Linked DNA regions of Struthio camelus. The main gene of each other region encodes a partner of the protein of the gene in region 2 in a complex. Links are inferred from orthologs where the notes say so. Each region holds a gene or a part of one and is shown on either strand. Other genes may lie near its edges.

Region 1 (7,308 bases), on a different chromosome or scaffold from region 2:
CATGCTGAAAAACTGACTGCACAAAGTTAGAAACTGTAGCATATCAGGCAAAAGCTGGATTTAAGAAAATAAGGGTTTTGTTTTTTTTAATACTTCAGAAATGGAAGATATTTCATTTTTGTGAAACTCTAAGGCTTTTTATATTAGGGAAGACAAAGCTCCTCATCTCATTCATTCTGTATTGAAGCTACGTTCCTGGTATAATCTGCACACAGCAAACTTCAAGCACTCATGAATCACACACCTGCTTAACTGAGACTAACAGAAATCATTGTAATAACCTGATCTGGCATATTTAGATTTCTCAGTGAGAGGTGTGCATTTTTCAAATACAATCAGTTGCTAAGAAAGTTATACTATAGAGACAATTATGACAATAATGAAAATAACTTGATCACAATAAATAAATAAATATGACAATTTGCAAACATTTACCTTGTTTTATTGCATTACCTTCCCTATCCAAGTACGAAATCCTCTTGAATCTTCTACCAACGGTTCCATCTCCCTCCCATTCCAGAACATCCCCCCCTCCACCTACGTTTTTCTGAAAGGAAATCTATTTTTTTTAATTCTGCCAGCATTGTTTCTTTGCTTTCAGAGTGAGAAGACAGCAACTTCAGCACAAAGGCACAATTTAAAATCACTAAAACTTCAGCACAGAAATATCTGTAGCGCAGGAGCGGTGCCTCAGCTATACTCATAACATCCAGGAAAAAAATAAAAATACAAGGACAACCAAGATGTACTGATTTTTGCTATAGATTAACCCTACTATGCCAACAGCCTACACAGCTGCAATAGCACCTACCCTTCTAACACAGACAAACACTTAAGACAGAAAATAACTACCTATGGGACATTTAGTGACTAAAAAGAAAACAAAACACCAAAACACAATAAATTTAAAAACACTCATAACATGAACCAGTCCAACGAATACCACAAAACATTACTGAGGTTAAGAACGTAGTGTAAGATAAAAAAGTTGGAACAGCTATTTACTAAAGCAGTATCACAGTAGCTAGAATATGCACTTAACTACATGAAAAATACGGTTTTTCCAGAGAAGAGTTGCTCTGTAAAAGACAGCAGCCCAGCAAAGTGACTGGCACTCATACTCCACAGGGTCCTTCTTCACTACCATCTCCACAATCCTATTAGACTGGATTCCACAGAGGAGTATCCTGGTAACTTCCTGTGTTCTACCTAACACCAATCCTGCATTTTGCACAGTAATTCCTGCATCAAGCCTCCGTAAACCTATGACAACAAAAAATCTCTGTCCTGACCGACATCAAGCAATGAGGAATTCACCATGTATTCTGGCAAAATATTTAACTTCCCACGGAGGTAATGATTTCCACTTTACTTCCAGCTGAATTCAGCCACCTTTAACTTCTACCTTGTGAAGCTTTTCGTGTTTGGGGTGCGCTTGGCAGCAATGACAGGTTCCTAGGATAACGCAATGCCTTCAGGATTTTCCAAATTGGCCAATTTTAAACGTTCCCCTGAGCAGGGGAGATCACTGTATAATGGTGCAAACCTACTGGCAACAGGCTTGCTTCTTCTTAGGTTGACTCCTCCATAGTCAGCTGAAGTCCATGCAAAGACCGAAAAATCCTCCTACAGCAGATATTGCTGCATCTTCCCAATACAGGTCTATTATTCCAGACACAAATACCTACATCAGAAAGTGGTGGGCTCTGTAGCAATCCATATGCTAAGTTTACTTTCCTGCAAATAAGTTAGCCAGATCTCTTATCATGTAGCAGGTCTCCCAGACTTCAAAACTTTATAGTAGCTCCTTCCTGAGATGCTAGATGATATGCCCACATCATCTTGTAAGCATTAAAATCGAAACTTGGGTAGTTTTAGTAACGCATTCAGTAATGCCCCCAGCAGGGACACTGCTACCTTTTAACTCAACATTCTCACTTATACATCTAAGGATCAAGCACCACTGGGGACTCTCATTCATTTAGTTATGTCTATACTTTCAGAATTGCTCTAATGATCCATTTTTCCCTCTGACACAAATAGTATCTTCTGTTCTATAGGTGTTGCATTTAAACACTTTTCTTTCATATTAGATCTTACGGTGATGAGGAACAATATCAACCCTCCTTTTCAAAAGATGTGAAGTTTTTTTTTTCTCTCTTGGCATCTGATTTAAAGGAAAAATTGCCTTTATGTTCCTCAGGATTTCCCACTACTTGAACTACCCAACAAACACTTTGATTTACAACTTGAAAGTAAGCCTCGAAGTCTGTCTTCTAACGCAGAAGCACCTCGCTAGAAATCAGCTCTTTCAGGTGACATATCCACAGAAGGGTCCCCAGGCCCCCAGAGATGGCATGCACCGTCTATCAATTACCGCTAGCAGTTTTATGAAAACAAAAGCACAGGCGAGCACTAAAGCCATCGGATCTTTCAGGAGGGCTGCAAGGAGCGCACAGTCCCCGTGTTAAGCTTAACTACGTTATCAGGTCGTTTAAGGCTGGTGCGGACAAACGCCTCAGCTCGGCCACCAGCCCCAGCGGCAAAACGCGACTTAATTCCTCTACAAAGAGCTTCACGGCTGGAAGCAGCGCTGGGGAGGGACGCGGGGCCCCTAGGGGGAGGCGCAGGCCGGGGGGAGGGAGGCCGCCCTCCCCGGCACGGCAGGGGCTGGGGGGCACTGCCAGCCCTGGGGGTCACTCACCCGGGGCCCCAGGGCCCTCGCCGCCGGCCCGCCGGCCGCCCGCCGGCCCCAGGCTGTTCACGATGTAGTGCGAGACGCGGGAGCTCTCGGACACCGAGAGCACGAAGTCGCCGGGGATGGTGCCCGAGTCGCGCACCAGGAAGGTCCCGTGGCGCTGCCCCTGCAGCAGCGACACCGCCTCGGCCCGGCTCAGCCGCCCCCAGTACCAGCTCGCCCGGTCCTCGGAGTCGAACTGCCCGGCCATGGGGGCCGCCCGCCCGCAGGCCGCGCTCGCTCCCCTCCCCCCCGCGGGCTGCCGCCGCCGCCCGCCGTGCCCCGCTCCGCGCCCAGCCCAGCCCTGCCACCCAAAATGGCGGCCCCTGCCCTGACCTCACCTACCGGATGTGACCGCACGCGGGAGACGCGGGGCAGGCGTGGCGTCATCTTTCCGCGCGGGGACAGGAGCGGGAGGGGGAGGGGGAGGCGCATGCGCCGTAGGGAGGGGGGGTCGGGCTCTGAGGCGAACTGGGGACATGGCGGCGGTCGGGGCGGGCCTGGCGACCCCGGCTCGCCCGCGTCGGTGTACGGACACCGGCGAGGGCTGCTCGCCACCGGGATGACCCCCTCGGGGTACCCGAGCGCAGCAGCGACCCCCGCCAGGGCTCGCCTCTCCTCGCCGCCCGGCCGCCGCTCTCCCAGCCGCTTGGCGCCGACTCCCTCAGGGCCGGCGGGAGCAGGGCCCCGGGGAGGCGGGAGGGCAGCCGGGGCTTGCCTCTGCGGCCGGCTCCTCCCGTTACGAGGCTGCAGGATAGCCCCCTGCCTGTGCAGTTCCCTGATGGCTTCCCAGCTACGGGGGCCCGCAGCTCCCTCTGGTAATTCGTGTGAGGCCAGGCTTGTCTGCGCTCAGGATGGGCCGGCAAAGGGTGCAGCTCCATGTGCCCTTTCTTCCGGGGGTGTACCGGCAGCAGTAGCTCCTGCCCTCAGCTTCCCCCCCAGCCAAGGGTTGTGCCAGCACAAGCTGTTTTCATGAGGCTACGTGCTGAACTGGGCCAGTGAGCTGTTAAAAACAGGCCTGCAAAAGAAAAAGGTTATTTTTACCCAGATCAGTTCACTGACTCTGTTACTGCAGGGGCCTGCCACAGAGAAACGTGTATGTGGGCATGCACAAATTTAGATTTCTAGATTATTCTCCAAGGTCTCTCTTAAGTTCCAGAGGAATGTCTGTAGAGCCTGGATAGATGTCTATTGAATTCTTTTCCAGCTCTGCTCAGTTCTGTGAGCTTTTTCCAGAAAGGAATGTGCTTTTTCAACTGTGTGGCCTCCATGTGGCAGCACTTGCATAAATACCACGTTGGAGTACAGCTGTCCTTAACTGTGATGGTGCTGTCCTCAAGCCTGGCTGACTGAACCTCTTCTTTCTTGTAGGGCACTTTGAAGCCTTGTAACTATCTTACAGATGGGACTTTGGCATAAATCAGGTAACTAGGATCATATTAACCCTCAAAATATCCTAGCGAGAAAATATATCCTGTGTCTTACAGGTGGGAAACTGTTGTTCACCAAATCCATAAGAAGACACGAGGTGCTGGATATCTATCCGCTTTGGCAATAGTTTAACAAAGGAACATCCTTCCCCTGCTGATCCTGTTCTCTCTCCAGATTGACAGTAGGTAGGAGACAGTCACCATCCATGTGGAACCCAGAGCTCAATTCCCCCTACTGACATGTGGAGTTTGCTAGCCAGCTGCAGAATTACCTGTCTTTGGCAGTTCCATGCCCAAGTTAGTCACAAATTTGGAAAGCTGCAGCCGCAGTTTCTTGTTGAGAGCCAAATAATCTAGGAGAGTTAAATCACTGTAGCAAAAAAGTGTCCATTCTGTCCAGTGGTTCACAGTCCAAAAAAAAAAAAACGAAAAACAAAAAACTCTTAAAATGGCAAACTTCTTCATTTTTCTGACTCCTGCCAGACCACTGTAAAAAAGACCGCTTTTGACTGAGGGCCCGCAAACTGCTGCTTTATCTCCCTTCCCGGTCCCCACCCTTGTACCCCATCACCCTCTGTTTTGAGCTGAACCACGAAACTACAGGAGATGGAGGAGGTTTACATGCATGGTTTGGCTTTCCCTACTGCAAGCCGTTGGGAATCTTATTGCAAGAGTTCCCTCTGGTGGTCAGTGATGGGGAAATGAGTGAAACTCCCGATGAAAGCAGCTCCTTTTGCCGTTTTTGTGCCAGGATGATTTCTAACTCTGAGTCACTCTCTGACCCTCATTATTTGTCACGTTTCCTTTGCTTACTCAGGGCTTCTCCAGGTAACCTTTCCCAAATTCCTCTTCCCCTCTTCCCTTCCGTATGTAGCACTTATGTAAGCCCTCCACTCTGCAGTGGTTTACTACCATTGACCCATCCTTTCTGAACAAAAGCTACGATAAAGGCGGAGCCCTTATGCCCAAACCTGCATTCCTGTGCTGGCCTTTCAAAGGCAGAGGATTGCAGCCTGAGATGAATGGGAAGGAACAACAGAGTTCTTGGCCACAGTTTCAGAAGAATAAAACTAGATCAGTTTGTAATTCTGAAGAATTCACTGTTAAAAATTTAAACAAGATTCTGAAAGAAGTTGTAAGATACCAAGAGAAGATTCCATTGACCTACCTGAGAGCAAAAATGCTACCAGTGCGAGCTCTCCTTAACTGCGTGGTTTTCCTCTCTCAGTGCAGCTAAACTTGATTTCACTGTCCCTGCCAGTCCGCCTAGAGATGAATTTTCCTAAGGAGCATTAAAACTTCAGCAACTGATCTAAAACCACAGTTAATCAGTAGAAATGTTCTTGCTTTCAAGGATGTTAAAATAAAATTAAGGAAATACCTGGGCTAACTGAAGGCTTCATCTGCTCTAATAACTGCAATGCTAGAGAACCTGGGGTCACATAACCCCATCCTAACCATAAATCTGCTCTAGATCACAGATGCCAATACTGTTTCTACTTACAGAATGAAAACTAAGAGGAGGAAGAGGTCCACCTTTTGGTGGACCATGTTCTGGAGAAATAGCATTTCTGCCACAGAGATGTGTTTCCTCTTGCACTCATTCCAGAATTTCATCAGCTGTTTATGTCCTATTTACTACTCACATGTCCATGTTACGTATGTGTGTTTGGTCTCTGCCATAACTGTTCACATCTGGTTTGGAAGTATCATGTTTCTGTGGTTCTTGCCAGATACTAGCTACATGATGTCAGCACCAAATATAGCACGCTGAGGAGTGCAGCTGACATTAGCTGTTGTGTAAGGACTTCTACACAGAGACTGTTAAAAATAGTAAGCCTGGAAGGTGTGACTTGTAGTGAGAAAAAATATTGGTCCCACTGGAGTACGTATAAGGGCAGGAGCCTTTACGTTGCCAGCTACAAAATCTCTCCACACCACGCTGGAAAAGTCAAAATTGGCTACTGAAATTTACTGGGAAGTACTATCAAATCAAAGGAAAGGCGACATATCACAGGGGATAATTTTGAGGGTTTTGGTCAGAAATTGTACAAAATTGAGGAATGGAGCAGCCCAAGAAATATGAGGAATTTCTACTGAAATTGGCTGGATGTGACAACCAAGGTGGATGTGTAACCTGAGCAGGTTAGTTTAAAGTGACTGTGAGCTGCAGATGTGATGCAGCTGACAAAACGCAGCTGCCACGGTGGAATATATCAACTGCGGTGTCTCGCCGCGGAGGGGAAGCGCTGATGCCATTGACTAAAGCCCTAGCGAGCCCTCAGCTAAAACACAGTTCTGGTCTGCTGTGTCCAGGGAAGATATAGCTGAACTACAGAGATTAGGATAATTAGAGGAATGAAGAATTTGTTTCATGATAATGGATCCAAACAGTGTGACTTAGCCCAGTGAAAGGAAGGCCAAGAAGAGCTAGGACTTTTCTGTTAAAATAGCCCAAACTCAGCCCAAGAACAATAGGCTAGAGACTTGCCATGAATAACTTTTAAGCTGGAAATTAGATTTCTTTCATCAGATGTGTAGAAATCCAGAAGGACCTTCCTATAGAACAGAGGGGAGCGGAGAAAAAAAAAAAACACACTAACATTTTAAGGAGTCAGATCATTATAAAAGTCATTGTAGAAAGCAGAGCCTGCGCTGACAAGGTCTGGACCTTACAACCCATCCCCTCCATCTCATTCTGTATTTCTCTGTACAGCATGTATTCTTTTCCCTACGACTTTTCTGCTTTGCTCTAATTTTCCAGACATAGGAGAGCACATGGCGGCGCAGCGGCTCATGTGAAAGGATCCCACGGATCCAAGGCCTGCTCCTCACACTCAGACGTTCAGTGCTGCCCAAGGCGGGGCAGGCATTCAAAATCTCAGCAAATTCACAACAGAAAAATCCACTCAGGGGTATCAGCTGCAAGCGACGCCATTGAGGGCTGGAGGAAGGCGGCGCGCCTGCCTCCCTTCGCCCTTCCCTCAGCGCCCCGAGGTCAGGGCCGCGGCGAGCAGCTGTCTGTGGGGAAAATGGCCGCTTTAGCCCTCTGCCGATCCGTAACGCTGGAGGACCCGCGGAGCCGCCCTCTCACCGCGTCTCTATGGCGCTGAGGCGCACCAGAGCGGGCCGTCGGCGCCG
Region 2 (7,427 bases):
GTCAAGTTTTAGCCCTCTGAAATACTCTGCAAAAATGTCTCATATACCAATTCCAGCAGCAATCTTTTCTGATGGATGTCCTTAGCTAATGTTACGTATGAGCTTCCAACAGAGCTTAAAGGAAGCTTGATGTCCACCTCGTTAAACGAGGACAACTTTCTGAAGTCTACCTACTTTAAATTTCTTTAAAGCCTCAGCATAAAAACTTACCTTGTCAAGAAGTTATTTGTCATATATTAAATACTTAAATTTTTTTTTGTCATGTGTTTAACATAGAGAGGTGACAGGAGCCAAGCTAGAAGCCTGCAGTACGCTAAGTGGGTAAGAAGGGTTTCTTGCTACCTGGCGTACTAAAAATCAATTTCACACCCATTTAATTTGGCAGCACCCTAATCTTGTACAAAAAGAAGTATTCTACTTTCCCCAGGGGGAATTAAGCCTCAAAAGTGAGGATAACAACATCCCCTTGCAATTTCTTCACAAAGCCTGCTACTGCAGAAGCTAGGGACACTGAAAAACCGTAAGATCTAGCTTAACGACACAGTGAAAGTTTGTCTGACCACAAGAGGCAGGCAGAGGAAAGAGGGGGCTAAAATGCAGAAGTTCAGATATTTTTTAAAAGCTGTGAACACTCACATTCTAGAGCAAAACGGGTTACACACATATCTAAACTGCAGTGATGCATGTTTCAGTATGAGTTCCCAGAAGGAGCATTGCGACTCAACTATACCAATAATTTCAATGAACTTTGAAATTTCTGGTGCAACAGACAGCTGTTGAAAAAGCTTTAACTAAATGTCTATTTGTCTATGCTCACAAGCCTTTGAGATTTATTTTAGTACTACAGCTGCGTTTCAACCAAAAGGAACTTTTATACTAGGACTGCAGGTCTACTTAGTGCTGCATTCAACAGCGACCTTGCACATGTTTTACAGGAAAGTTAAGAAAATCACAGTTGCACACTCATCAGGGAAATCCCTAGGAGCTTCAGATGTACTCCATTTCCATTTACCGTTGTTCTTTTAGTAGATCTACAGTTCCCCTTTTGGGTACTCCGACACGGTAGGATTTACAGAACACTTCTATATTAACACTGCAAATACACTAAACTTCCCCAAATCAGCCATCATTTTCAGGCCAACAAACACCACCAAAGCAGGACGTATAACGCGCTAACTAAAAGCATCAGTCACAGATCATGAATAACCAAGTTCAAAGTACATAAATCTAACAATTAAAATTTCTGTCCAGAACAAGCTAGCAAACCGTGAACATGTTTTATCTTGCACAGTGGTAGTTATTATTTCTTGCCAAGACTTAAAAATGCTCTGCCTCATTATTACTAAAGCATATAATAATTGAACAGTTTGAACACACAGAATCGTTTCTACAGTTACCAATATATTGATTCAAGCCTTACATATACCCATAAGATTTCTTTCAAATATGCATTTGCCTATACATTCCCATAACTGTAAGCTAACAAAAAAGAGCACTTTATAAAGCAGAACACCACACTTTCCACACGTAGCTGTCCGAATACAAAAGCCTTCTACCTAAAGTTATTTTTACATAAGAGTCTTTTACTAACTGAAAGAGACAAGCTTTAAGTACTTTGCCGAGTTATTCCAATTAGCAATAGGAGAAGCTTGATCCAGGTTTTTAATTCCCCTCTAGAAAAGGGCGTGTGGGCCACTGCAATTTAACACTTGGAATACAGACAGTTAACACCTCCTTTTCTAGAGCGAGGAAACATTCGCAGATGAACCTGAGACAAAGACAGCCACAGATGGCCAGACTGAACTACTTTTGCCTACACAGTTGTCATCTAACATGGCCTCCTCATTAAGGCCTTGTCTTCACCATGCTTTTGTCAAGAGAGCAGGGCAAAGCTGCTCTGGCTCTACTGGTTGCAGTAGCCACACAGACAAGGCAACGCGATTTCTGGCCATTCTGCAATCCTTCACGAAGCACCCGTTTCACAACGCTGGTTATTTACCTCCGCGCTACCTGACTACACTAGCGTCCTCCCATGGTTGCCTGCCTACTTATGAGGGAGATTACTAACAAGCCACGATAGGACGCTTTTAAGCGCAGCGAGGGAAAAGGTGACTTGTTGCAGGAGTTTACAGGCAAGGAGCTGATAACTCGGAGGAAGGGGTGCGCCCTCGCAGCGACCCTCACCGTCACCCTGGCTTCCCACCCCAGGCCAAAACAGCGACACCGGTCGGCACGGCTACAACGACAAGCCCAGGATGGCCGGCAGGCAAACCGATGACCCAGCACCCAGGGAGACAAAAAGCCAGGGAGCGCCTCCCAACTCCTCCCCGGGCCGCAGCTCACTTTTTGCGCTCTACCTCCAGCGTTAGGCACAGCCGAGCCGCATCTCGGGAACCGCTTCAGCGCTGCTCGCTCCCGGCAGGGCCGACCCTCTGCACCCCACAAGCGCGGACCAACCTTCGCTTTTATTCGTTGTTTATTTATTTTTACCGGGGAGGGTTCCCCCCTATCCACAAGCGCTCCCTTCACCTCCCCCCCCAACCCCGCGCGGCTCCGCGCCGCCGCCCCTCCCCCCCCCCCAAAGGCGCTCGCGCCCGACCGTTGCCAACGGCCGCCCCTCCCCCCCCACCGCTGCCCTGAGGGGAGGGGGGGAGGGGAGACGAGGCGGCCCGGGAGCCCCCCGCACCGCCCGCGGGCGGCGGCAGGGCGGTTCCCCGCACGGCCGGGCCCGGCCCGCAGCCCGGCAGCGGGTGCTGCCCGCACGGACGAGGAAAGGATTTGGGGGGGGGGTGAGGAAGAGGTCGGGGGGGGGGTCGGCGGTCCGCCGGGGGGGGGGGGGGGTGTCGCGGTAGCGGCAGCGCCCGGCCCGCCGCGCGCTCTCTCTCACCTCAGAGTCTCCGCCGGGCGTTGGCAGCTCGCTGCGGGGTCTCCTCCGTTCAGGCACAGGGGCACGCCGCCGCTGACGTCATCACGCACCGGGCGGGGCGGGGCGGGGAGGCGGGGCGCCGCCGAGCCGGCGGAGGGGGAGGTGGCGCCCCGCCCCCCCGCCCCGCCCCGCCCCGCCGCGGGCGCGCGCGCGCGCGCCGCCGCCTGCAGCGCCGAGCACCGGGGCCGAGCGGAGCGGCCCGGAGCTTGGTCTTGGTGGCGATAGGACCCCGGCCCCGGGCCTGCAGCGCCGTGCACGCGGCCCGGTGGCGGGACTCGCAACCTGGCCGTTTTGGCTGAAAGAGGAAACTTGTCTAGATGAATTAAACGCCCGAAAGCGTTTAAACCGGCCCGAAAGCCGGGTCTCGCACCGCGGCTCGAGTAGGCAACGTGGAAGGAGCGGGAGGAAGCTGGCGGCGCAAAATCCCTAACGGGGGTGGGGGGCGGCCGAAAACCATCTGGCGAGGCTGAAAACCACTGCCGTGGGGCGGGTTCAGCCTGCGGCGCCCAGCCCCGCTTCTGTGCTTTTGCAAAACGTGCAATCCAACGAAGGCTGCAGACAAGAGCTGAACCGGTTTTATCACATCAGACGGACGTTTCCCGCGCTCTCAGCACCGTTTATTACCATCGAATAAATAATAAACCCCCCCGCTCAGGACCAGGAGAAGGCAACAAGGCTCGCGGCATCCCTAAGAGCCAGCAAACGTAGGCGCCGGGCCGTTCTCGTTCAGATCCCGCAGCGACGACAAGGCGGGCTGAAAAGGGCCTTTTCGAAGTTGAAACGCAGCCCGATAGTTTCTTTGCTCGCAGAAGTGCCAAAAAACCAAACAAAAACCCACATCCCCAGCCCACCTTCGGCGAGGTTTTCCGACGTGAGTCACCAACGCCTGCCGCCCCGTTCGCTCCTTACCCGCGGGTTTGCTCCTCGGAGCGAGGAAGGCGGCACGCGTTCGCCCAAATCAAAGGCGGGGGGGCACGCGTAGGAGCAAGACAGGGCCAACCCCTAGCGTGCCGGCAGCTCAGGCCTCTTCCCTTTGGCACCGGTATCCCGCCCGCTCCTCCCGGCTGATTTTTGATGCTTCCTACCCCTTCGACCCAAAGAGGCGGCGAGGAAACGGCTTGCCAGAGGTCGAGCCGAGCGGATGAGATCGCGAGCCTGGAAACGCCTAGGGAAATCCTCCCCGGAGCTCTTCCCGTGGTTTCGGCAGGGCCGGCTTCTCCGTTTTCACGCGCTGTTTGGTTCAGGCGCTGGGCGACGCTGGGACAAAAACCGGCCCTCGGCTGCGAGCGCTGCAGGAAGCTCGAGATCGGCACGTCCCACTTTTCTGCCAGCGGCCCCCTGCTCGCCCTTTTCCCCCAGGACGGGCTGCGTAAAAGCATCTCTTGACTTATCTTTCGGTACTTCTGACGTCCTTCCAGCTCTTTGCTTTTGATTAGATGAAAGCGGCCGCCCGCCGAGACGGCCAAAAGCCAGCCTGTAAAATCACAGGCTCGGCAGCTACGAAGGGCATCACCCCAATCCCCTCGTACGTGTACGTCACCGTACGGATTTTAATGATGAAAAACGATCGCTGTCACAGAAATAAAACTGGGGCAGGAATACCTCTTCCCAGAGGAGCGTAAATCAGCACACATGGAGATCTCTGCTGCTGCTGTAATTAGCACTGTGGAAAAGCCCATGCAGTAATTAACTTTCTACCTTCCAAGTTGAGATTTAATAACATGCAGTAAAATAATGCCTGGGGCTATGCAACAAGGGGGGGGAAAAAGCCCCATCCAATTAGGCACTTGCCACTTGATAAGGAATTAATTATACCCTGATCTTTCTTATAATAATAATACGTTGCTTTTTATCTGCTCAGTGCTCTAAGTGAGGGAGGGGTGCGCTGGGAAAACCTCCTCGAAAAGTCCCGCATCAACTCCGAGGACCAGGTTTCTGCCAACCAAAGACTCAACCGGAGAAGGATGGGGCTGAGCTGCTGCATCCGGCAGAGCTGGAAGGGGAAAAAACTAGGAAAGAAAACGCTCGGGCTGTCGGGGAGCTCAGCCTCAAACCTCCCATCCCTCCACAGGACCGGGACGTCTTCTGGTGGGTCGGATCCAAGCAGCCAGGATGGCTCCCAGCACACACGGCTGTGGGATGAAATAGGAGTCGGCCCCCCATCGAGAAATCAGGAATGAGACTTGCTCCAGGACAGATGGTCTTTATCATCTCCAGCATCGAGGCGGCACCAGGAGAGCTGAGCAGGCTGCATGTCCTGACTCCCAGGGCATGCCAGGGGTGCGAGGGCCAGAAGAGAGCGATCCCGAACGAGTAGGCGCATGCCTCTCGCTGGGGCAGAAAAGCTAAAAATCTGCCAGCTAAAAATCTGCCTTTAGGTAACGCAGGGTTACAGGTAGTGGAGGCTGCGGAGGCTGCAGTGAATATGACTGCCTCACCTGGGAAGGCCGGAGGAGCTGCGCTGCCGGCAGCCACGGCCGGTAAAACCGGGTGTTCGGGAGGCGATTTGCAGCTCCTCAGCCAGGATTTGCTGATCTTGCAACAGCCAGAGGGCAAAACTGCAAAGCTCAAAGGCAAGCTCAGAGAGGGGGGGACTGCACTTGCACCCGGAAGAGAAAGCACAAGGCAAGAAAAGAAAAGCCTGCCACAGCGCATGCAGGCTGGAAGCCGAAGGAGAGGCTGTCCCCTGCTGAAGGGAAACTAAACTGGAGGGAGAGCTGCTCTCCTGCTGGCAAGACCCGGAGCAAGAGAGACCCCCAAGGAGCCCTGCACCCCCACGGCATCTACATGCCTGGATGGATGGAGGGCATCTTCTCAAGAGCGCTGATCTTTGCATCTCCCCAGCACCCGGCGCAAGACAGAGAGACACCAGCGAGCCTCCCTGGTACAGCAGGAGAAGGGACGTCAGCCATGCAAACAGGACACCGGGCCCGTCACGGCAGTACATGTGAGATCAAGATAAGATTTATTTCATTTTTTCCAGTGCTCTGCCACAGCCACACTCAACATAAAACAAGAGTGCAGGGCCCGGCACGTTCCCCGTCACTCCCTGGCAGCTCAGCCGCTGAAGCCAATGGAAACCCGTCCTTCAAAGAGCGCACAGCCTGCTCCAACCCTCAGCAGCCAGGCCAAGGGCCTGAAGCTTGCGTGGTCCTTTTGAGGATGCTCTTCCCAGCCAGGAGAGCTCCAGGGCACCTCATATGGAAGTCACAGGCTCTTGAACGCTGTTGGGAGAGACCCATAGGCTCAGCTCACAACACACCCTTCTGCATGGGGCTTTAACTGCTCTTCCCCGGCCAGAGGGCTTCCTAAATATGTGCTTTTTCATCAGGGCCGAAACCCAGCCCTGAAATGATTACCTAGCGCAAGACGCAGAGTCGTACACCGTGGCTGGACAGGCAGGACGTATTTCATAGCGCTATCACATCTGCGTCAAGTGATTTTGCTTTTTGCCCCAAGCCCTCTTGGACTGACTCCATCTGATATCTGCCTCTCGCTAGAGCTTGGCACGAGTCAAAGAAAGAAATTACTCGATTACCAGAAAATCCAGTAAGGCTGATTTTGGAATTAGTCTCATTAAAGTACAGCGCAAGTATCGGCGGCAGCAGCGTTTTCATTTCTGGATCTCTCTCCTTGCCCCGCCTTCGGCAGCGTTCGGGCACAGCCGGCCTGTCCTCTCGCAGGGGCTCTGCTCAGAGGTCCTGTACGGTCACGGCGGCTCACGTCACTTGGTGAGACCCTGGAAGTTGGGCTCTGTACACGGAGGCAGCGCTGCCTGCTGGCTCAGCAGCTTGTCCAGGATGTTTATTTCAGCATCTCGCCTGTCGATGTCCTCAAAGGGAGTCCAGGACATGTCGTGCTGGAGCTTATAGGCGCCGAGAAACTCGTGGGGGCTGGTCCCCCATTCCTGGAGGAGAGAGGACAGATTCACGTCACAACTCTTGTTTCCCTCGGGGCCAGGCTATGCTGGCTGTCTTTTGGCCTCTCTACCCGTGCCGGATTGCCATACCACTGTTGAGGCAGTCCCAGTTACACACAGCTGTCTCATTTTCTAACCTAAAAACAGGATGAAGCTATCCTGAGTCCGAGACCAGGCTGACTTACGGCACTGCTGACGTGGGGAGGTTTGGGGACGGGTTATCAGCCTGTCCCCTGCCCAGTTCCTCCAGCCGGCTCAGTGCTTTGCTTTCTGTTCTCTTTATAGAGTATTAAAATCTGCTTCAAGCGCCCATTTGAGCTCTTACCTGGACACTTCAGAGGAACTGCCCACTCTCTCAGGGAGGGCAGCCCACACCGGGCTAGCCCACCAGAGGTGGATTGAGATCTTTGGTCTCAGCTGGACACGGAACGGAAAAGTGACCCACAACTAGTGACGGAGCTGTGGCGCCTTTCTAGCCATAATCTGAGGATGGCAGCAGGGCACAGAGGTCACTACAGTCCTTCATTTCATCATTAAGGACCTGGCTCTGGAGCGTCCAACCTACTCGTGAGAAAATGGATA
Region 3 (7,677 bases), on a different chromosome or scaffold from region 2:
AATCTCAAGAATGAGGCTAACCAAGGAGGCAGCAAGACGACTACATGTGTTTAAAGTGGACAAACTACTTCATCAGAGGCCTTTTTCAAAACTGAGGCTGTTAACAGTTCAACAAATGCCAGCTGCACCCATGCATCAACTCCACACGGTCCTAGGTGCACCACTGTTCATCCCTCTGATGAAGAGGCCACAGAGCTGTTTGAGAAGATTAGGAGAGTATGTTCAAAGTGGAAAAAACATAAGGATAAAAGTCAGTGTTACGGCACTTATGGTAAAAACTTGACCATCCTGTGCCTTAGCCATGGACATAAGCGTGTTTTAGAGTGCTTGTCTGCGTAAAACAGCATAGTGAGCCACAAGGAGAGAAGAACGAAACTTTTAAGATACTTTCTTGAGGCCACACAGAAGAAATCTTGCCCACATGGCCCCACGGTTTATATATACAAACGGAGACGAACTGTTTAATGCAATGACTGTATACACGCATGTGGCAGCAACTTGACTGAGCAGCACGTTCATCAACTTCAAAAACAGTTTTGGAAAATTCATTAATGGTAAGAAAATCACTACTGCCAGCAAGGCCCTTTAGGATCTCATTGGGGCACTCTATTCAAGGAAGGGTTATTTTAGACTGTTTCCTTAAGACAGCATGTAAAGAAGGTGAGATTTTTTCCTACAAACCTCTTTTTTCATATTCTCGTTTCCTGACAAAACCTCTCTTCCTACAGAAAATACTCTTCCCCCTCCCCCCAGGACTGCCATTCCTTTCTCATTAATCTCTGGGTAGGCCATAGAACAGCAATTCTACGGTCTAACCAGCAGTACTGCCATCTTCCCTCAGAGCTGCAGAGAAAACACAGTAATCACAGCCTTGTAGTTTATTCTTTCATAAACTGGTCAAATGTTTCCTGGAAGCTACAACAAATACCAGCCATCCCTGGCTGGCTTCAAGAAGAGGCTAAAGGCAGTTGTTTTCGTGCTGTTCCAATTGTGGCATTTGAGCCCCATCTTGCAGCTCCTTCTCAAAGGAGCGGACCAGGCATCCAACAGACCATTTTTAGATATGAGCCTGCACCGGCTGCCAGTCCCCAGAGTAAAAGCTATAGGACTGGTCCCTAAACCCTTAATTTAAGTCCATCTTCTAAAAAGAGTTGCTATCTCCTCCTTTCAAGTACTTTAAGAGGAACAAGCCTGTAATTTCTTATCCCAGACGCTTGCATTATATGCGTCTAACACACTCTGTTTTCCAAATGGTGTCCCTTCCTTTTACTGATCTAATTCAACTGGTCCTAATTCAAAAGCACTGTTTTTCTTCTACAGACCGTGCCCGCAGATTAAGTTGGACGTCCTTTTGGTACGGAAAGATGAATTGACTTGATTCTGACCGAAGCACTGCACATAGGGATATCTCCCCTGTCAGTAAAGGGTCTACAGATTTCACCAATAAATGAAGGACAAAAATTAGGCTTTTTCACTATGCCTAATAATCATAACATCTTACCATTTGGTTCATCAGTGGGGGCTCCCAATTGAATAGGCTTATTCTTTTCTTAGACATGATAATCTAATTGGGTCTAACCAGAAATAATCCTAAACACATACCGATTTGACTCGGAGAATCCTCACTCAGCACTAGGAGTATTTCCAGAAGCCAGGGGATTTTGAAATCTAATATCTAGATCTAGATATCTATCTAACATCTATTATGGGAATTACTGTTATAATAGTTAGTATCACTGAGTTTCACATGATGTTACAGTGAACTCAGGGTATGGCGTGCACATGTGTTTTATTCATTCCTCCCCAGCTTCTGTTTTTCACGTAAATATTGTTCAAACGTAAGAACTACATAGAAGAATACATGGATTGTTATAGCCTAGTCAAACTATTTAAACTTCGGAAACAAAACAGGACTTTTGCCCCAAGCACTACTGTACGGTACCAAGAGAAGTACCGCCCTTTCCTTGAAAACTGTCCGAGGAACTTGATTTCTAATCCTGAGTACTTTGTGCTATTCAGGTGAAGGGGAAAAAAATATATATATATATCTATACATATAGATAAATAGATAGGGTATCAAACTCCAACAGAAATGCCTACAGCCAAAACCAGCACAGCGCGCGATAACACGAACGCACGTACATGTCGTTTGTGTGCCTGGCCATATCACGCCTCAGGCAGAGATTCATTGCTTCTTTTCCTTTTCGCTGCAAACCCCCCCAAAACGGACTGAAACGGTCGGGGCCCCTGCCTGCACACACTCCCCCGGGAGACAGGCTCCGCTGTCTAGGAGCCAGGAGAGAGGCAGGGCAGCGGAGAGAGGGGCGAGGGGGGCGGCCCGCGGCCTCGCCGGCTCAGCCCACCGCGCGCTCCGGCCGTCGAAGATCAAACCCCCGGCACCCACCGATGCCGGGAAAAACGTGAGCGCGGGGCAAACCGAGGCAGCTCAAGCGCAACGCGATTCTTTCGGTGACTTCCCAGACAAAGGCTGCTTCTCCTCGGCGGCCACGACAGCCTTCCCCCCCCCTCCCCGCCAGGTGCCCGCCCGCCCGCTCCCCACCGAGCCCCCCCCCCCCCCGCCCGGGCGGCCACGGGGCATTTAAAGGCGGCGGACGAGCGGGCCGGCAGGCAGCGCCGCACCCAAACCCAACTTTCCCCCCCACACACACCTCCCCATTTCCAGGCACTTGGAGGCGTCGTTCCGCCTCCTCCGCCCCCCAACGCGCAGCGGGCCGGGGGGCAGAGGCGCGGACCCGGCAGCGCGGCGGCCGTTGGGGGGCGGCGGGGGCCGGCACTCACCAGGACGACGGCGAAGCGCTCCTCCAGCTCGCCGGGCTCGGGCATGGGCAGCTTGAGGGGCACGCTGTGCGCCCGGAACTCCGTCTGCTGCGCGTCCACGCTCCCCGCGTTGCCCATGGCGGCGGCGGCGGCAGCGGCGGCGGCCGCGACCCTCCGCGCTGCCTGCGCGCTCCGCTCCGCCGCGCCGCCGAGCGAGGCGGGCTGCGCGCCCCGCGGTCGCCCTCTAGCACCGACGGCGCACAGCCGTCATGGCTCGCCGCCCTCGCCCTCCCACCCGGGGCGGGCTCGCTCCGGCACCGCGGCGGCTCCCCCGCATGCCGCCCCGCGGCCGCCGCGGCCCGCACAAAGCCCCGCTCCGCCCGCCTTGCCTCGCCGCGCCCGGCCGCGCCTCCCCTCCCCGCCCCGCGGCCAGATGGGACTCGTAGTCCCGCCGGGGGCCGCCGCGTCCTCGCCGGCGGGAAGGGGCCGCGCCGAGGGGGGGGGGAGGGGCCGCTCGTGAGGGGAGCGCTGCCCCGTGAGGGGGCTGCGCGCGGGGGGAGGGGCCGCGCCTCGAGGGGGCTCCGCACGCGGGCGGGAAAGGGCCGCTCGTGAGGGGAGCGCTACGCCGTGAGGGGGCTGCGCGCGGGGGGAGGAGCGGCCCCGTGAGGGGAGCGCGGCCCCGTGAGGGGGCTGCGCGCGGGGGGAGGAGCGGCCCCGTGAGGGGGCTGCGCGCGGGGGGAGGGGCCGCCCCGCGAGGGGAGCGCGGCCCCGTGAGGGGGCTGCGCGCGGGGGGAGGAGCGGCCCCGTGAGGGGGCTGCGCGCGGGGGGAGGGGCCGCCCCGCGAGGGGAGCGCGGCCCCGTGAGGGGGCTCCGCGCGGGGGGAGGAGCGGCCCCGTGAGGGGAGCGCGGCCCCGTGAGGGGGCTGCGCGCGGGGGGAGGAGCGGCCCCGTGAGGGGGCTGCGCGCGGGGGGAGGGGCCGCCCCGCGAGGGGAGCGCGGCCCCGTGAGGGGGCTGCGCGCGGGGGGAGGAGCGGCCCCGTGAGGGGAGCGCGGCTCCGTGAGGGGGCTCCGCGCGGGGGGAGGGGCCGCCCCGTGAGGGGAGCGCTGCCGTGTGAGGGGGCTCCGCGCGGGGGGAGGAGCGGCCCCCTGAGGGGGCTCCGCGCGCCTCCGCGCCCCCTCAGCGTCCATTTTAGGCGCGCTGGCCGGCAGGGGAGAGACGCCCTGAGCGAGGGCGCAGTTTGGAGGCAGCGCGGGCCCCCCTCTCCCCCGAGTGTTTTGTCTTCGGCGTGTGGGCTACAGGGCGCAGGGACGACGGGAGCAGGGCTTAATTTCTGAACGGATGTCACTGTTTGGGTTAAAAGATGCTGCCTTTGGAGGCTTGCTTGTCTCGAGTCGTTGCCAAGCTTTCTGCCTCGCAGTGCAACTTGCGACAGTGCAACCTCTGTGTAATCACGCAAACCCTCTTTCTCTCAAGCATGTCGAGTTCTCTTTTTCTTCAGATGCTATTTTCCTTTTTTTTTTTTTTAATAATTTCCTGCCAGCTCTCTCCACTACTGTGTTTTAAGTGTTGTGACCGTCAAACCTAGACTTCGTTAACCCTTCAGCCGGGGGAGTTTCTTAGAGGTGGCCCCCTTTTCCCCCATCCTTCTCTGTTACAAACGCCAAACCGAGCGGCACAGTACCGTCCTTGGGTTTTGAGGAAAATCCTGCAACTCAGCGAAAGGTAGTATTGACCCATTTGGTGACTATGCTGCGTTAGTGATTTATATCTGTTTAATTCTCCAGTCTAAGACCTAGTTCTTCTTCTGTGACCCACCTGCCAATCCGTATTCCTCTCTTTTATATTAGCATTCGATTATCCTTCCAAAGAAGAACGATTTTTCACTCAGCTTTCACCTTCGTGATGATACACTTACTGCTATTTCTCCCGCCATTCAACGTTTATTACGTGTCCTGTTACTGCTGTGTGCTGCTTTGCCCCGCTTGGCCTTACAGTGCGTGGGTGCGCACGTGCGTCCCCATGGTGCAGAACACGGTGCCCTCTCAGAATTATAAATAAAATTACAAACATCGTTTAACACTTTCAGTGGTCAGCTATGAAGTTCTGCATTTTGCTGCAGGCTACTTCAGGAAATTCAGTCAAACTCATGAATCAGACTACTCAGTGAGTTACCTCTTACTAATGTTAGCTGGAAGTCAATAGTAAACAGTAGCAATGTCAAACTCATTTCTTCAAAAGCTGTTACAGTCATTCCTTAAAAGTACTGTTTGACTCATATTATTACCAGCACATTCAACAATGGGGTTTTGCCAGATCAATGAATATCTACTAGAGTGATGGAGCGTTTTTGCCTTCGCCTGGTAGGAGATCGTAACGATCCACATGGAGATTAATTTGTAAAAAAAAAAAAAAAATAAGAGAGGCATTACGGTTTAGATAATGAGCATTTTTAAATTTATCTTATCTAGGATAATGATTTTGCTAGAGGCACAACTTTAAAAGCTGCCACAGAAACAATACATCGAAAGTCACGTGCTGCAATATGCATAATCTCCTATTCAAAACTGAAATAAAAGTGAGCATTTCTGCGTATATTCTCTAAAACCACTACTAATTAAATGTGCTCATCCTTTTTTCTCATTACAAGAGACTTTAATGATATATCCACTAATAGGATTGTAAGTGACACATTTTATCCTGACGTACATCTCAACTGGTTACATTGCCCACAGAGTGTGGCAGAATTTGACCCAGAATCATGAATGACATCATTAAATGTGCAAATTTACACTCTGCTAGCGTCAGAGCATGGGATTTAAAAGTGTGGCGCTGTTAGAAATGTTGTTATCCGACGGATAGATCGAAATTTCCTAAGGCTGTTTGGTTAAAAGCCTAAAAATACTTCTGATAGCCTTCATAAAATAAGTTTTAAAACCATAGGCCGTTCTTAGGAGTTAATAACAATGTTATTGTTAGTAATTAAGGAAACACTAATAGATACTTTCCCTGACATCTTCTATCTAAGAGTATCAAAATTCTCTGAAAGATTAATTAGTTAATTAAGCATCACAACACGCCTGTGAGATAATGGAGCATTAGACTATCACAGATAACAGATGAGGGTCAGAGTACAGGGCCGTGGAAGACAGTTTCTAACCATGGATACCTGATTTTTTTAGCAGTAGATCAGCCTGTTTTGTGAAGCAGTCACTGCTCCCAGTACTCGTGCTGCAGAGTAGCAACGTCCTCACCAACAATGGTAAGCAGGTTATTTGCCCTATATTACGTAGGGGAAAGTGAAAGGTGCGAGGTAGCTTTATAAAAGAGGCCTGGGTGTCACTACCGGCTGCCCAGTGACTGTATAGTTCATTGCAAGAATGCTTGATACAGACAGCGGTCACCGAGGCAGGGCAAATCCTCCGTCCACGCTTCTCCACCTCCTCCAGGGAATTCTTCAGGCACCAGACTTTAAGCCACACGTACTGCTTCCCGTTTTCAGGCAGAGTAAGACTTTAACAATAGAATACTTTTGAAATACAGAGATGAGAGAGCAAATAAAGTTTGCCCTTGACAGACATAACATGTAGGCTTGAATCCCATAGGGAAGAGGAGGGAACTGAATGCAGTCTTTTCATCTTGGCTGGAGCTGACCACAGAGTCACTGGGTAATAAGGGGGCAACCAGCAAACTAGCAACTTGCAAAACCAACTAAAGGCCAGCCTCCGTTTTGAAGTTCCTTTGAAGAAGGAAGAAGTTCTTTACCAGGAGAGCACTGCAGCGCTGGAGATGTTATCCGGCGAGGCTGCGGGACTGCTGTCCCTGAAGGTTTCCTGGCCTTGTAGCTGAAGCCACAGCCGATGTGGTCTGACACAACAACCAACAGCAGGTTGGACTGGAGGCCTCTGGAGGGGCTGTCAGGGCTGGGGGTGCCAGCAGGCTCTCGGGACCTCAGGGTTTGGCTGCCTGTGCTCGAGGTCTGCTCTGATGTGGTAAACTTGTAACTTGGGATCAGGCTGCTACAAGATGGACCCAAGAGGCACATCGCCGTGCAAGCTCACGCCTCAGCCTTCACCCGCAACACAGCGCCCAGCCGCTGGCCCGGCACGCTGGCTCGGCTTCCCAGCGTCAGGATGGGTCTGCTTGGCCACCACTGGCTGTGGCTGTGCTGGTTGCTGCTGCCGGCCCGGCCCCACTCACCAGTCCCACAGCTGTCAGAGGAATGGACTGCTCCATGCACTGCGCATGCTTCTGGCTGACAACCAGATGGACTGTTTAAGACATTAATTGCTGAACAAACTATTCATTTATATGAAGCCAAATACTGTACCTCCTCCTCCAGCTGTTTTGTGCACTTTCACATGCTGCATATGCTCTGAGCAGACTGAGTTTCCAGGGGAAATTTTTGGAAAAAATATCACATGGAAGGATTCCTGTGGAGTTCAGGCAGAGATGAACCATGAACTACCCAGGACCAGCAAGGCTGACCCTCTGACAGGCACCCCCCACGCTCCCGAGGATCATCGGCTCCCTCAGAGTGAAGCAGCAATGGGGCTTCTGGGTCTTGCAGTTCTGGGTTTTGCAGATCCATCACTAGGTGCTTCGAGACTGGTTTAGGTTTGCTTTATTTTGTTTTTTAAGTACAGGGAGACTATTAATTACCTAGGACCAGAACAAACTAACTCCGCTATAAAGAGTCCTAGCATTTGCCCAGTCAATAACTCACGCTATGGAGGCACCTCCAGAGCTGCAGCTTTCTGAATGCAGGGGAAAACCTCACAGCATTTTTAAGTCCCTCTAGATGAAAGATGACATTTAGGAGCGGGTAGCCGCCGCTAGCCGCATGTACCTGTGCAAGGTTAGGCTAATTGCAGGTTAAACTGGATTCTTTGGCTTGCACTT
Region 4 (7,577 bases), on a different chromosome or scaffold from region 2:
GCAGACCAGGCTCCCCAGATATGCCCACATGCTTTTCGCAGGCAGGCAGGCAGGCAGGCAGCTCTATTCTTTGGCTCTAGGTTTCAGGACAGAAACATTAACTGAAGAGGGATCCAGAGCAGAAGAGCTCTTGGAATTTTTGTTCTTCCTGTGACCCAGTCTCTAGCTCTCAGAGAGCTCTAGAAGGCTTTTCACAGAGCTTCCCCCACCACTTTCCCAATAGTGCAAAACAAAAAAGTACAGGGTCTCACATGAGATAACCTTTGAGCATTTTAGAGAAATAGTATCCTCGAACTGCCTAGCAATAGGCAGACACTGAGAAAGAGAGACCCGGACCTGAGAGGCAGGATGCAAGAAACTAATTGAGGGCCTTAGCATAAGGGAATCCATTTTATTTCCTGACAGAGTGCAGCCGCATGAGATTTTTCCCTGTCTACTCAAATGCGACCTATAAGCAGAACCTGTCACTGAAAAGAAAGTCCACCCTTTCTCAGTGTAAGGATGAAACAGTTGTTCAAGAACAGCATTTGATTAAACACGCAACACAATTTAAGTTCTCTGCTTGCTTTAGTTAAGCATAATGGCAAGACGTAAATTACACGCCCTGTATTAGCCAGTCATAAGGCAAGAAAAATGATATATCTAGATGTAAAAAGTAAAAAGCATAGTCAAACATTTAAAAACTAAAGAATCATATTTGACATCAGAAGCATTTACTGCTAGGATCTAAACTACTTCCTTTTTTCCAAGTGTTTAAGTATGGTTTCTGCACCTATACTGGTTTACCTGAACATTTGCTAAGCATGTGCTTTGCTTTCTAATAAGAATTGGCTTTCTCAGTAGCAGAGAGATGTGCTGTAGAACAGCATGTTCTGTTAAAGGCGAGAAACCTCAGGCTTTTAAAATATAGTTTTTACCCAAGTTCTGGGCTGGAGACTCCTCCTTACACAAATCTCAACAGAATCCAGCCAGGGAAGACGGCCCACCTGTGTCTATGAAGTCTTGGTAGCTGCTGCTCACACAGACTTTCCTTCTTTTTGCAATTCCAGTTTTGCTACTCCTTTTGCTACTCATGTCTCAGCTATACCTACTCTGCAGTTTCCGTTTCCTGTTTTTCCTCTGGATGTACTACTAATTCAGAAGTAAATCTACATACAAATCTACATCAAAACATATCCATCCCTGTATTAGCATGCCCTGTACACATATTTACAAGCAACAAAGAATTACAAAAGTCAAGTGGTTTCTTCTCCCTTGACTTATTAACAAGCAATGCTCAGACCCAAGAGCAATCCACATTCTGGGGCTGTTGTATTATTTTTCTGACTCTGCTGTCATCTGCCCCTTCCCAGTTTAGGTTAATTTGCACAGATGTCTGGTTTTCGTGGCACACCAGCCAAGTCCCTGCAGTTCACTACAGTCTTAATATCAAACACAGAATTAGCCTATGTTCAGTAGCAACACCCTAGAAGTAAGAACATCAGGAGTCAACATCAGAAGTAAAACTCAAATTAGGCACGGCTCAGCCCCACAGAAGGGCTCCTCTCCCCACTGCAAGAAAAGCAACCAGTTGCTTAGCAGCACATCTTCCAAGTACGCAGGCTCTGCGTGAACAAGGCCCAGGACTGAAGGAATCGCTGAGAAAGTCCTGCGCAAGTCCTGCCTCCCACCAAAACTGATCATACCACTGAGAGCACCACTCCCCTGAAGTAGTCAGAGAGTCAACAGCCGGGCTGCCTCTGTCTGGCTCCCTAACGACCAGATAACTCAAGAAGCTATTGCTTCTGGAATAAATTTGGTCCTTCATTACTGTAACAGCTTCTTAAACCAGTAGCATTCCTTCCCCAGTCATCCCAAACACTTAGCTGAAAGCCACCCCCGTGCCCACTAGAAATTCAGCCTGACTAGCAATCAACCTCCTCCAACCCTGCAAACAAACCAGCAAGACAGCAAAAGAGCTGAGCTCAGCTTCCTCGGTCAGAGCCCCAGCACAAGCTCCACCGGTTGTTATCAGTGCTACTCGGGACCCACCTCTTACACAAGCAGTGTGGCTGCACTTGAGGAAACAAGGGCACACACAGCCCTAAGGACAGACTGTGCCTTTCCTCCTCCCCTCTGCCGTAAGTCTGATCCTCTCGGATCTGCTATGACTGAGCTTCTATGAAAGCCCAGATTCAAAGAACAGACTCAAAGGCGGGTTAGCTATTTACATAGTTTAAAAAAAAAAAGAAAGGAAAAAAGTTCTGAAAACACATGCCAACTACACAGTAATATCAGGAGGGACATTTAAAAAGCCAGGCTGTTAGGCACCAAAGCGGACGGCCCGTCAGCCCCCAGGGCCCTGCTGCGGCTTTCGCACACTGTCTGCGGCGATCACCAGCCACTGGGCTGCTGCTGGAGCTGGGCGAGCAAGCAGCCGGCTCTAGAGCCCGACCAAGCGCAACTGCCGCGCGCCAACCTCAGCAGTTACTTAGATCGTGCCAAGCGCAAAAAAAAAGTTACGAAAAACTTTCCCGGCCTTTGAGCCTTGCTTTTCACAACCCAGCTGCTGCACCACGGACCAGCCCCTCGGACGTTTTGCCCCAACGCAGTTTTCCCCTCCGAGTCCCGCCGCCCTCAGCGCGCCACAGGGGGCAGCGAGAAGCGGCAGCCGGCGCGACCCTCCCCGCGGCGGCGACCTTCCCTTCAGGAAGCCCCCGGGGGGCTCCGGCGGCCGGCCGGCGAGCAGCGCCCCCGCCCGAGCCGCCCGGCCCCGGCCCCGGCCCCGGCCCCGGCCCCGGCCCCGGCCCGGCAGCGCCAGCGGAGGCCTCGGGCCCCGCGCGGACAGCCGGGCCCCGCCGCCGCCCCTGCGCGGAGGGCTCCGCTCCGCTCCCCCCGCCCGGGCGGTGCCGCCCGGCTCCCGCCGCCGCGGCCCCGGAGCTCGGCCGCCGCCGGTACCTGCCGGCCCGCGCGCCGCCGCCGCCGCCCGCCGCCCCGCCAGCATCCGCCGCCCGCCGGAAGCGCGGCCCGTCGCCACGGGAACGCGCCCGCCCCGCGCGCCGCGGGAAGCCGTCCGGGCGCGCCCGCCGCCCCCTCGCGCCGTTCCGCCGGGCATGCAGCGCCGCCGCCGCCGCCCGGGCCCCGGCCCCGGCTCCGGCTCCGGCCCCGGCCCGGCGCGCCTGCTGGGACCCGCGGGCGGCGGGCCGGGGCCGGGGCCGGAGGGCGACGCGCGGGGCGGGGAGGCGGCCGGCGCGGCGCTGCGGAGCCTGCCGGCCGGGCTGGCGCTGGGGCCGTCGGGGGCGCGGGAGCGGGGCACGGGCGTGTGGTGCGTGGGCCGGGCGCTGGCGGCCGGGGCGCTCCTGGGGCCGGCGGCCGCCGCCGAGGGGCCCGGCTGGAGCAGGTGAGTACGGCGGGGCGCCGCCGGTGCGGCCGTGCCTTTGCAGCCTGCTGAAGCCGAGCGCGAAGGAGGAGGAGGCCAACGTGGCGCTGGTGCGGGTGGGCGGCCGGCTGCACGTCCGGGCCCGGCGGCCCATCGCGGCGGGCGTCGAGCTGCTCTACTGGCCCGAGGGGGCCGCGGCGGAGGGGAGGAGGCCGCCGGGCCGGCCCCAGGGCACGGCCGTCCCCCGGGAGGCGAAGCCGAGGGGGCAGCTGGCTGCGGCGGCCGTGGCGGCGGAGGTGGAGACCGTGGTGCAAAGGGAAGGGGCCTCTCCCCGGGGGAAGGCGGCTGAACCCGCCGCAGGTACGTCCTTTCGAAGGACCGGTGTCCCGGCCTCGGCGGGAAGGTCAGGCGGAGGCGGTCTGGTCTTCCCGGGCCCGAGACTGCTCGTGACCGGGCTACTTCAGAGCTCACAGTGAGCCTGCACCAGCATTACACTGTCCTCCAAGATCTTAAATCCTCAGGAGATAATCGGAAGGCCTTTTTTTTTGGCCTAGACAGCTCCCACTTCCCAAGCAAGTGGGTAGCAAAGCTGCCTTTCCTCTCAGAAACATGGGTTTGCTGTCAGAAGGAAGGATATTACCCATGGTATCTGCACAGTGGTAGGATAAACATAAAGATGAGCCAGATAACTTCCTCTCACTAAGCTTGGTATGGAGAAATTTCCCCTGGGGAACTGTCCTCATTCAGGGTGTTTAGGGTGTTTTCCTCAATGTCTCCGGTGGGAGGTGGCTGCCCCCTCATCTGTTCCCTCACACAGTATGGTTACAAGAATCCATATGCCCTTCAAGTTTGAGCAATGCTTTCCTGGCATTTCTTACCCATATTTGAGACTCCCACAAATGTGGTGCTGCTTTTGAACTGGCTTCTGCCATGCTAACCCTGCATCCCTCCAAGACTTTTGTCCTGACTCTGCATCAGATCAGGAAGTACCAGCCAAGAAAGGAAAACGCCATAATGTTTTAGTCTTTAGCACTGGTACTGTCTGTGGTGAGGGGATAGAGATTCCCCCCACTTTCCCCAGTTGAAAAAAAAAGTCATAGAAGTGATGGTTTTCATTCTAGAGCCCCAAGACTATTGGATAGCAGAGTGTCTCTTTCTGAGGTTCTTGCTCCTCTGATCCAGCAGCAATCGTGTTATCCGACAACAGCCAGCATTAATTCACCCCCATACTTCTGTGTTGTGCAGGGTATCCTGATATCTCCAAGGTGGTAACTGATGAAACCGCAGTCCTCGATGTCCCTACTGAGGTTAGGAGGCTGCCAGCCAAACATCTCCACAGGCTGCAAGAAGAGGAAAGCACAAGTCCTCAGCATGAGCTGTGGCAAGCCAAAATGCTGAGGACTGAGAACCAGCACCTCAAGACCATCTCAGCCACTAAAGCCAATAGCAGGTGCAAGGAAGAATCGGGCAACGCTGTAGATCCCAGAACCACGGCAGAAAAGGCAGAAATGGGGCAGGGAGAGGCAAGTCCAGGAGACCTGCACCTGTTGTTGCCCTCAAGTGGGGTTGGACTCAGTGCTCACTTGGCTAGCAAGCCATGCAAGGTGCATGCTCTGACCGCTCAGCTCCAGAAGTGCCTGCAGGACTATGGTGGCATGAGAGCTGGGCAGGAAACCCAGCAGCCCACTCCATCTGAAGGAGAGAACACAGAGACCTGCAAGAAAGAGAGAAAAGCTTCCACAGACTCCAAACTGGCATCCCTAGAGAATGGAGAAAAGGGCCCACCAGATGGGCCTGAGGAGAAGGAGTATGCAAAGCTGGAGGAGGCTCGTTCTGGCAGCACAGGCCTCCCAGCAGAAGCTCTGTCCCAGAGGGAGATTGTTGGCAAGCGCAGGTACCGCTGTGGGGAATGTGGCAAAGCTTTCCTGCAGCTCTGCCACCTCAAGAAGCACCGCTTCGTCCACGCTGGCCACAAGCCCTTCCTGTGCACAGAGTGTGGCAAGAGCTACAGCTCAGAAGAGAGCTTCAAGGCCCATGTGTTGGCCCACCGGGGTGTGCGGCCTTTCCAGTGCACCCAGTGTGACAAGGCTTACCGCACAAAACGAGACTTGCAGGAGCACCAGGTCCTGCACACGGGCCAGCGCCCCTTCTCCTGTGAACAGTGTGGCAAGGCCTTTGCACGCCGGCCCTCTCTCCGCATTCACAGGAAGATCCACCTGGCCACTGGGCCTAGCCCAGTTGGTGCTAAGGGCTGCCAGTGTGCCATCTGCGGACGCTACCTGGCCAACCCCGGCTCCTTGCGCAACCACATGCGCCTGCACACCGGGGAGCGCCCTTATGCCTGTCCCTACTGCAGCAAGGACTTCCGACAGCAGAGCAACCTGCGTGAGCACCTCCGGCTGCACACAGGCGAGAAACCCTACAAGTGCCGCTTCTGTGGCGATGCCTTCCCCAAGCTGCCAGAACTGCGGCGCCATCTCATCTCCCACACAGGTGAGGCCCACCTATGCACAGTGTGTGGCAAGGCGCTGCGGGACCCCCACACACTGCGTGCCCACGAGCGCTTACACACAGGTGAACGCCCCTTCCGCTGTGAGCAGTGTGGTAAGTCCTATACCCTGGCCACCAAGCTGCGCCGCCACCAGAAATCCCACCTGGCTGACAAGCCCTACAAATGTGAACTCTGTGGCATGGGCTACACCCTTCCTCAGAGCCTTGCACGCCATGTGCTCACCCACAAGGCAGAAAAGGACCCGGAGGAACTGGCTACTGCAGTGGCCTCCCTCAACGCAGACCTGCCTCAGGCAGCGCAGAAAAGGCCTCAGAGGAAAGGCCACCAGGAGGAGGAGATGGCAGAACCCACCTTGCTCATGGTGGAGGTGCCAGGGACAGCAAATGAGGCAGAGCTGCTGATCACAGCCAGTGGTCACTGCATTGCTACTTACCAGTCCCAAGGCAGCCCGTTGGATCCTGGGGCACACAGGAGGCCTGCTGGGCATTTGCCGTCAACCAAGGACATCATTGAAATTACCATCTCTGAGCATGACGACAAGTGCATTATTGTGCAGGATGAGGGCTCACCAAGCGACATGGTCATCATCCAGGAGGGGGTGGGCTTTGGAGCAGTGGCGGAGGTGGTGGAGGTCGAGACTGGGCTCTGACTACCCCAGCCTGTCCTGGCTGATCACATTCAGTATGGAATATTAAAATAGGGTAAAGAAACAACAACGAAAACTAGCTGTGTCATCTCTCTCTGACAACAAGACCCTGTGGCTCAGCCCCAGGCAAAATTAGTGGCCTTGAAAGTAAATAGCCTTGTAGACCTGGGTCTTTTTGGCAGCCATCCCTCCTAGGTACGGGCCTACATGTGCCACTTGCTGGGACTGGTGCAGGGAGGGCATTTGCTGATGATGGGAAAGGCTTTTTAAAGAGGAAAGCCCACAGCTATAATGAGCAGTGCCCCTACTCTGTCTCTTCTTAGGTTGTCAGTGAGTGACAGTGAATGTATGCAGAAGGCAGGGACGAGTCTGAAAGCAGCAGCTTTGGACAACCCCTTCCTTTCAAATTTTTCTGTTCCTGCTTGACTGCTGCTATTCAACTACTTTTACTTGCCTGGGCTTTTACTCTGAAACTCGGCAGTATTTCTGAGCCTTTGCAGGTGATGCTAAACGCCAGATTTTGCTGGGAAGCAGCTTTCAAAGTGTTTGCAAGGTGTCTGTGTGCGGGTTTTTTGAAAAGCATTTTTCACAATCAACAGAAGCAAAGCCTGGCCTTATAGCCAGGGCTGAGTGTTCTTCTCCACTGTCACCTGCAACGCTTGCTGTAGGAAGTATAGTAACTGGATGGTATGCCTGAGGACATTAAAGGATAGCTTCATTTCTCACAGTAATAGTAGCATTGGACAGTGCAATTTTTGGTGTCCCCAGCTGAGACAGACAGTTCATTTCAGTATGCTCAGGAGATTTTGCCTTTCCCCTCCACATTCAAGTTAGGTTTCTTTTTTCTCATCTGTTTGCCCTTGTTCTTTTTCTTGCACTCTTGCTTCTTCTCTTCCACTTCTCCCTTGCCCCTGCCCCAAAAGCTAAAAGACAGCACCACCACAACTAAACTCCAGTTTTCCCACCTTCCCATCTTCATGACAGAGTGCTCATTTGCCACCCGAGCCATCCTGAATGAAATTGATCCTTTTTCAGGCGGGAAGTGCACAGTTCCAGATGCC

The links.
Region 1: CDC42 (region 2) and CRK share a complex: the UniProt entries of both Homo sapiens proteins name them as parts of the collagen stimulated complex. The link is inferred for Struthio camelus from reciprocal best matches to the Homo sapiens genes CDC42 and CRK.
Region 3: the proteins of CDC42 (region 2) and FMNL2 are in contact, whole or in part, in a crystal structure (PDB 4YC7), measured with the Homo sapiens proteins. The link is inferred for Struthio camelus from reciprocal best matches to the Homo sapiens genes CDC42 and FMNL2. Residues at the interface, in NP_001034891.1 of Homo sapiens: Val36, Phe37, Asn39, Gln61, Glu62, Asp63, Tyr64, Asp65, Arg66, Leu67, Arg68, Pro69, Leu70, Pro73, Ser88, Glu91, Asn92, Lys94, Glu95, Lys96, Pro99, Glu100, Thr102, His103, His104, Pro106, Lys131, Asn132, Lys133; in NP_443137.2 of Homo sapiens: Ala41, Met42, Asn43, Leu44, Pro45, Lys48, Leu52, Tyr55, Lys59, Glu62, Leu63, Asp66, Gln67, Arg69, Phe70, Lys73, Tyr79, Arg108, Glu109, Ile112, Ser113, Leu114, Arg115, Thr116, Asn117, Ile119, Val122, Asp219, His222, Met226.
Region 4: the proteins of CDC42 (region 2) and ARHGAP1 are in contact, whole or in part, in a crystal structure (PDB 1GRN), measured with the Homo sapiens proteins. The link is inferred for Struthio camelus from reciprocal best matches to the Homo sapiens genes CDC42 and ARHGAP1. Residues at the interface, in NP_001034891.1 of Homo sapiens: Asp11, Gly12, Ala13, Tyr32, Val33, Pro34, Val36, Phe37, Gly60, Gln61, Glu62, Asp63, Tyr64, Arg66, Leu67, Leu70, Ser88, Glu91, Asn92, Glu95, Lys96, Asn132; in NP_004299.1 of Homo sapiens: Glu278, Gly279, Phe281, Arg282, Arg283, Ser284, Ala285, Asn286, Thr287, Gln288, Asn309, Glu310, Val316, Lys319, Arg323, Asn385, Lys386, Met387, Asn391, Val394, Val395, Pro398, Asn399, Trp402, Ala403, Lys404, Ala406, Ala407, Thr409, Leu410.

The regions. Positions count from the first base shown.
Region 1 is NC_090957.1:15,834,719-15,842,026, reverse strand, and holds the start of CRK (adapter molecule crk), read right to left. Parts: upstream 3,006-7,308; 5' UTR 2,949-3,005; coding exon 2,705-2,948; intron 1-2,704. UniProt on the Homo sapiens protein: Involved in cell branching and adhesion mediated by BCAR1-CRK-RAPGEF1 signaling and activation of RAP1.
Region 2 is NC_090962.1:12,587,265-12,594,691, forward strand, and holds the start of CDC42 (cell division control protein 42 homolog), read right to left. Parts: upstream 3,009-7,427; 5' UTR 2,888-3,008; exon of another isoform or gene 2,848-2,887; intron 2,570-2,847; exon of another isoform or gene 2,344-2,569; intron 1-2,343. Other genes in the region: C21H1orf50 (uncharacterized protein C1orf50 homolog), read right to left, coding at 6,651-6,833. UniProt on the Homo sapiens protein: Plasma membrane-associated small GTPase which cycles between an active GTP-bound and an inactive GDP-bound state. In active state binds to a variety of effector proteins to regulate cellular responses. Involved in epithelial cell polarization processes.
Region 3 is NC_090947.1:44,704,100-44,711,776, reverse strand, and holds the start of FMNL2 (formin-like protein 2), read right to left. Parts: upstream 3,007-7,677; 5' UTR 2,917-3,006; coding exon 2,800-2,916; intron 1-2,799. UniProt on the Homo sapiens protein: Plays a role in the regulation of cell morphology and cytoskeletal organization. Required in the cortical actin filament dynamics.
Region 4 is NC_090946.1:39,735,455-39,743,031, reverse strand, and holds the start of ARHGAP1 (rho GTPase-activating protein 1), read right to left. Parts: upstream 3,005-7,577; 5' UTR 2,938-3,004; intron 1-2,937. Other genes in the region: ZNF408 (zinc finger protein 408), read left to right, coding at 3,093-3,379, 3,423-3,718, 4,604-6,519. UniProt on the Homo sapiens protein: GTPase activator for the Rho, Rac and Cdc42 proteins, converting them to the putatively inactive GDP-bound state. Cdc42 seems to be the preferred substrate.